2 linked regions of the Drosophila melanogaster genome follow. The protein of the gene in region 1 interacts with the protein of each later gene in a pairwise test. Each region holds a gene or a part of one and is shown on either strand. Other genes may lie near its edges.

Region 1 (3,753 bases):
TTTGGGCATTTTCCTATTTTCCTATTTGTTGGTTGTTGTTTCAGTTGTTGTTGTTGCTAGTGCAGTCTCTCAGTATTGCTGATTTGTTGTTGTTGCTGTTGGCCAATGTTGTTGCAGTGTCGTTGACCGTTTTTTTCTTCTTGGCAATGAAATGCGTTTTGTTTTTGTTGCTGCTGTCGCTGATGAGGTTGCCGTTTTGGTTGCAGTTGCAGTTGTTGTGCTTGCTGCTGTTGTTGTTGTTGCTGCTGCCGCTTGATGACGTTTCTTGACTTGGCTTTCTCTCAATCTATCTATCTCACTCGCTCTCTCTCTCTGTGTGTTTGTTGTTTTATTTCGTATCTTTTATATTTTGTTTAAGGATGATTTTATTTTTTTTTTTGGTTGGGGGGGGGGGGTACTTTTGGTAGGAGGGTCGGGTGGCGGGGTCGGGCGAGGGGCAGAGAGAGAGGGGGCGGGAAACAAGCGAGACGGCGAGACGAAGCGGCGACGCGTGAAACGGGATCGACGACGTCGACGGCGGCAGAGACAGCGACGCCGGCAGCGCGGCTTTCAGATTCGCGGGAAACGGAAAATCGGGAAAACTCGGGGAAAATTCAGCTTCGACTTTTCAAAGTTCTGGCTTTTGAAGCGGCTGCTGTTTTGGGGAAATTGCAGAAATAAATTTATAAATGAAACTGATTAGGTACACTCAAGAAAAATATTTCACTTAACTTTCACTTGAAAAAAAAATCACAATTTCAAATGACACATTACACTCGCATTTCATACATTCGCTATCAATTCGTATTATATTTACTGCTGAGTCCCAAGAATCTCACTTAAAAAAATGAATACTTATGATTGAATAAAATAAAATGTTTAGTGCTAATTAGCATATTGCTGCACATTTAAGTAAAATGTTTAACTTATCAAATGACAACATAGAATGAAATAAAATATCACACTAACATAGATTCCTCTAACTTAAATTCCGAAATGTTGAACTAATTTATATCGCTCGTTCCCCTTGTTTACTTTTGTTTAAATTCCTGCCATTTGAGTTGTTTACTTTATTTTAAATTTCTATAATTTATTCCAATTTGTTTGCGTTTCTCTCTCTCTCTCTTTTTCTCTTTCGGGCGAGGAGCGATTCTAGCCTTGCGTTTGCATTGGTGTTAGTATCGGTGTTAGCTTACGCACACATTTCTAATATCAATTATCCAGGGGGAAAATTTAAGAAAAAAATAAGATCGCTGGCTTTCTCCTGATTTTCGTACAACTATTTTCAATTTCGTGTGCGTTTGTCGTTTTGCCTTTTTCGTCTTTCCCCACTTTTCTTCGTTCTCTTTTCCACCGCTGCTTCTTCTTCTTCTCTTCCTCGTCCTCCTATCACCCTCTTGCTCGTTCGCCTGGCTCTTCACATATACCAGCAGACACACACATTCACGCACGCACACACATACATTCGCACACGCACGTTGTTGCTGCAACGTTTTTTTTGTTTTTTATTTCGGCGTCGCCTGCATTTTCATCTTAATTATCGCTCTCGCTCGCACGCACTGCGAGTTTCAATTCGCGTAAATAACTTCACTTTTCCCGGCTTTGTGCGACTTTTCATTCCATTCTAATGGGCGGCGAACGTTCGGTTCGCATTACGAAAAAATAAATAAAAAATAAGCGGAGCGTACGCATAATTTCGTCGGTCGGTGGAAAAACATCGAAAAACCATCGAGCCATCGAAGTGACATCGTAGCATTGTGATATCGATATGTTGTCGATGATAAAGAATCGACAAATCGATACTCATCGCGCATCGATATTTCGCCCATCACTCTCACGATGGTACACGAAAATATACTAGATTATACCATTTGGCAACATTGGCGTTGCCAGATAATAGAAACCGTTGGACTAACAGTTCAAAATTATTATTTAAAAATTTAACGGTTGTAGCTGTTCAAAAACAAACGGCTAATAATTTAGCTCAGCTCAAAAATTAAGCACTTGAGTTACAAATCATACACGAATTAATAAGCTATCACACTTTAGCACGGACCTTTAGCCAATGGTCACACTGCAGCCCGTGAAAACAACGGGCAATCATTCGATAACATCAGTTGAAAATCACGCTTGCTATCGATTACTTATTTTTGTTGTATTAAAAAATATTTTTGCGAATTGCCAAAAAAACTGAACTATCCACTGGTTAACTGGTCGAGACCAGCCAAAATCACGAGACACGATCCCACTTAAAAGCCAGACGGGGAGAGTTCAGTTGTGAAGCAGCCAGAAGTAGCGAAAACACTTAGCGGCTTTTCGTGTGACGCCGACTTTGGCTAAGGAGGAAAAGCGATTAAAGCAGGAAGAGCCAGACCAGGCGCCATCGACCCACAGACATGTCGCGCAGCGTGCGGGCGGAGACGCGCAGCCGGGCGAAGGATGACATCAAGCGGGTGATGCAGGCGGTGGACAAGGTGCGCCACTGGGAGAAGAAGTGGGTGACCATCAGCGACACCACCATGAAAATCTACAAATGGGTGCCCATCGCCTCCGCCAGTGAGAAGAAGGCCAAGCTGGAGTCCTCGCCGGGATCGGCTGCTGTCCGGAGACCGCCCCCCGGCTCGGGCGTTACGCCGGTCGGCGGCAGCAAGAGCGATAAGGAGAACTCTCAGAAGGGCACGCCCACGCCGCCGCAGATCACGCCCAGCTACCAGGGACTAACCGCCGAGGACTCTAACACCTGTAAGGATGGCTATGTGCTGGTTCTCTTTAAATAAGTAGTTGGGTTCTATGTCTGCAAGCACTGCGTTAGGAGCCAAAACAAAAAAACAGGATGCAGTATATGGATTTTAGGACCTTTACGAGGTGCCATTAGTCTCATAAGCTTGCGGAGCTGCTATAAAAATTGCTGTCTTTGCATTAGCGATATTGTTTACATTTGGTTTTTGGCTTCAAAGCGTATTTCCTATTCAGCACAATTTATCACTCCAAAGCACATGTTTACTCTGTCTTATTCATGCGATCTCTATCTGTACACAGGTTTCTCCGTCGTGTCCGACAGCCAGGGCGCCGACTTCGTGTCGAGTATGCCCTTCTCTGAGGACTCGAACTCGCAGGGCAGCGATGGACCCGTGAAGCGATTGAAGACGAGCGACTAGCCAAACATTCGCAGGCACAGCGTCTACAGCAGCAGCAGCAACTAACTAAGAGCCCTAGTTAAGTTAGGTTAGCACCGACAGCACCGGACGACGAGAGAGTATCTGCCTCAGCCCAAGACTTAAGCACTTCCCTTACACTAGCAGTTTCTTTACGGCTGTCAGACTGTCCCGCCATAAGCCTCATTTATTTGTCATCAAAGCGGGGGTAGCTGATGGTCGATAGGTCATAGGTCCATAGCATTAAGATCAAATGTGACAACTTATTTATTAGAAAGACATGCGAATCGATTTGAGTACGAACGTAGAATGGATATGTAATTTTGTAATAGCTGCTTAAGATACAAAACAGCCAGTCTGAATGTTGTAAACCGTGTAAAGTTTTTTGACTTTCGATTTCTAGACGTTTTGACAACAACTAGTTTATAACTTAGCGTACTAACATAAAGGCTACTTTTTTTTGTTCACTATAAAACTGGCTTGAAAACAATTGATGTACTCGTTCATAAGTTGATTTTCCTTGTAAATTTCGCTTGTAAACGCTTTTCTACGCATTCAGTGAATGCAACAGACTTGAAATCGAAGCGTTTACAAGCTAAAGCTTATAGTTTGTTAACGA
Region 2 (3,753 bases), on another chromosome or scaffold:
TAGAGTCGCCATGAGAATCTGTATATGCCGGCTAGCCTGCGAACTGCGAGAAATGGGCCGCTGCTGCCAAAACTAATATTCGGACAGACCGCCCAGGTTCCCCTAGTAGCACCCAGTAGCCCCTGCTGTACGGATGTACCCAGCACCATCACCCCCGCCCCGCTGGAGCGCCCGCGAACTAACCTCAATATGGTTATGCAATCCAACTGCGGGCAGACGCCATCATCGCTCACATTCCCGGCGAAAGTGACACGTGCGGCGGAGAAGACCTGGCACTCTCCGCGGTGCTCCGTGACGTCTTCGTCGTCGGCGCACGATCCGCACAGCGGCCAATCGCAGAGTTCGCAGCGGTCCAGCGAATCGCCGTCCTCTCCGAACTGCAGGAACTGGTAGCAGCCCAGGCACACGATTCCGCTGTCGCGCTTCGGTCCGCGTGCGAAGGGCAGCTCCTCCAGCACCAGCTCGCCCCGCTCCACGGAGCTAGAGGTGGCCAAGCAGCGTCCCAGCACGGCGTCCTCCTGCAGACGGGCCTTCAACATTCTGTCGCCGCACGGCAAATGCACTGGTCTCGCTTTTGGCCCATCCGAATGGGATTATGCGGTCGATTGGCGGCCCTGCACGCAGATTCGTCTAAAAATAAAAAGAGCATCGCACACACTTCATTGGTGTCAATCAATAAAGTTGTAATATATTTATTGCATTTTGATTGCTTTGGATTATAACTTTTTTAAAGCCCATTTACTTGTCCACAACTTTAAAGTTTTCGTTTGCAGGAAACCCTTTTATGTAAAAAAAAAACACTTTGATGTAAGTTAATTGTTCTTAAGATAACGAATTTCTTAATAGAATGATTGAATTCTAATTTCAATAATTATTTTAAGTAACCGTTAGTTTTCAAATTTCCGTTACAAAAAGTGTGACCATTGCCATTAAGAGTGACGCAGCGTTACCAGATAGTATATCTGCGGCTTGTTTTAGGGAATAATTATTGGACGAATTTTTAGGGTTGGTAACACTAAGGCACAGAATTACAAAATTTTTTGGTGTACGTTTGTCGTGGTGTCTCTGTTCCTCTGCGTTTCGCATTACACTCTAACCAAACTAAAACTCATCAAAAGTAAGTAGCTCAGGAGTAAACCCCCTCAAAATTCAGTGAAATGTGATGGATACCCCTATGGGTAGAAGGAAAATCAGGATTTTCGGTGCCAGTGATTTCATAACCTCGAAATGAAAAAATTGCAAGTAGACACGCGCATGAACGAAAAGCAAAAGGGCTGAGCACTTTTTTGTTGGATGACGATGGGCGAGCTTCTTATCACCAAATCACGCAATAATTAATTGATAAATCCGAAATTTAAAGGGGATATTAAGCCGGTTAGCTGTCACACACACATCCACACATGAACAGTCCACGCACACCAATGCCTTCGCAGTTCATTGGCAGCAGCTGCCGGCGAAAAAAGGGGGCAAAGAAGCAGAGAGATCGATGGAAAAGTGCCTGGCGAATTTCCGTTACGTAACGCATGTCGCATCAATTCCGTTCGTTATCGTCATGTTGCCATCCACCAGCGTGCAGCTCGCTCAATAAACATTTTCGATTTCACTCTTTACCGTTCTTTATCGTCGTTTTGTTTGTTTGTGGTCATGTGAGGAGGTGGGTGCACTTCGCGATTGTGGGTGGTATTTTCGCAGTGACGTCACCTGGAAAATCAATAGACCACCTTTTCGGGCAGCTATTCACTTAGCTTTCCACTTTCCCTCATCGATTTCCCTGCTGTTATGCAACTGTCGAAAAAATGAGCTGCACATCCACCCAACCACCCCCTTTATAATCTGCTTGTCAAGGTCATCGTCAACGAGATGCTGATTCATTTTCACCGGGACATCCACCTGATAGTATTATTTTCAGCATCTAGTGACCAGGTTATATCACCTGACTTCCGGAACAATAAGAGCCCATCCCATTTAACGTTTGGCTGCCGGCCATAAAGATTTTTGTCTGCTGGCCGCTGCTTTTCATAATTTTCTGCCTTGATTGCCTTGAGTTTCCCCCCACCAATCCCCCCGAACACAACATGAAATATTTATATTGTTATATCTATATAATAATTTCAATTAGATGTTTTGGGTTATTTTTGTTTGATTTTTTTTATGCTCAATATCGGATAGAAATTTATTTATCCGCGACTAATATTCCTACCGCGACTGTGAGTCGCATTCCTGACGTCACGCAAATAGAAACAGCGAAGCAGTGACCACAGCAGACGTTGCAAATGTGCAGTTAGCTTCTGAGTCAATGATCGCTAGCCTAACGGGACTGAACTGACCAGCAATTAATGCCAGCAAGAACGGAACGTAAACATAGAGAGAGGCAAACCTGTGGCCAGATAAATAGGGAAAATCTCAGTATTTTTATTAAAATTTTAGTTTAAAAAACCTATAAAAATATTTGAAAAATAAATTTTGATTTAAATGGTTTTGCATTGGTATAGAAAACCCTTAATTTCTTGGAGTAAAATAGACTTAGTCACTATTTGTTTTCTATCTTCGCTTCTATTTTTTGCGCCACTTTATTTTGCCCAGACGTGCATTGACCCCCTCCTCAGTCACTCAGAATTTTCGCTGCTTCAGTTGGTGATTCTTTGCATGTGGCCGCCTTGAACACTAATCTAAATTGATTTCTTTATTTTCGCCGCACAAAATTGACATTTAGCCAAAGTGAAAATGGGGAAAAAGCCCTCGAAATTCTTGGGACATGTTGATGCTGTTTTTTGGCGTCTTTTAGTTTTCACTTTTCATTTGCGGCCGATAGAACATTTTGAAATCAAGTCGAGCAAAAAGTAATAATCATTATGTTGCTGATAAGATTAAACTTATCGTTCGCTAAACGCAATTAATGACCTGGCGAGTGAAATGATTTCGCAATAAGTATCATCGTCATGATTATCGATTATTCACCAACTAATTGAAGGTGCGATTTAATGCATTCCATTTCAATCCATTCCAGATGGCTCCTCCATCATACAGCGATTTGGGCAAACAGGCTCGCGACATCTTCAGCAAAGGCTACAACTTTGGCCTGTGGAAGCTCGATCTGAAGACTAAGACCTCGTCGGGCATTGAGTTCAACACAGCCGGACACTCCAACCAGGAGTCTGGAAAGGTCTTCGGCTCCCTGGAGACCAAGTACAAGGTCAAGGACTACGGCCTGACCCTCACCGAGAAGTGGAACACAGACAACACGCTGTTCACCGAGGTTGCTGTCCAGGATCAGCTCCTCGAGGGTCTGAAGCTGTCCCTGGAGGGCAACTTTGCTCCTCAGTCTGGGTAAGGATCACATGTTATTACATATATGTTCACTGCAGAATAATTAATATTGCATATTTAATTAAAAATCGTCAGAAACAAGAACGGCAAGTTCAAGGTTGCCTACGGCCATGAGAACGTCAAGGCCGATTCGGATGTGAACATTGATCTGAAGGGCCCCTTGATCAATGCCTCTGCCGTGCTTGGCTACCAGGGATGGTTGGCCGGCTACCAGACCGCATTTGACACACAACAGTCCAAGCTGACCACCAACAACTTTGCCCTTGGCTACACCACCAAGGACTTTGTTCTGCACACAGCTGTGTAAGTATTGCAATTGCCACGCATGGCAAATGAAATCAATGCAAACTAATGATTGCCTTGTCCGGTGTTTAGCAACGATGGCCAGGAGTTCAGCGGCTCGATCTTCCAACGCACTTCGGACAA

The links. Proteins that work in one complex are often made in the same cells at the same time.
Region 2: the proteins of Zdhhc8 (region 1) and SmydA-3 interact in a two-hybrid assay, tested with the Drosophila melanogaster proteins (one large-scale study listed by BioGRID).

What each region holds. Positions count from the first base shown.
Region 1 is NC_004354.4:9,354,545-9,358,297, forward strand, and holds the start of Zdhhc8 (zinc finger DHHC-type containing 8), read right to left. Parts: upstream 1,684-3,753; 5' UTR 1,571-1,683; exon of another isoform or gene 1,443-1,570; intron 635-1,442; 5' UTR 10-634; coding exon 1-9. Other genes in the region: BCL7-like, read left to right, coding at 2,376-2,721, 3,019-3,137. UniProt on the Drosophila melanogaster protein: Palmitoyltransferase that catalyzes the addition of palmitate onto various protein substrates and therefore functions in several unrelated biological processes. Regulates tissue growth possibly by regulating Ras64B protein stability.
Region 2 is NT_033779.5:10,848,118-10,851,870, reverse strand, and holds the start of SmydA-3 (SET and MYND domain containing, arthropod-specific, member 3), read right to left. Parts: upstream 1,731-3,753; 5' UTR 1,612-1,730; exon of another isoform or gene 1,023-1,611; intron 631-1,022; 5' UTR 540-630; coding exon of another isoform or gene 184-539; intron 1-183. Other genes in the region: porin, read left to right, coding at 3,008-3,327, 3,403-3,630, 3,703-3,753.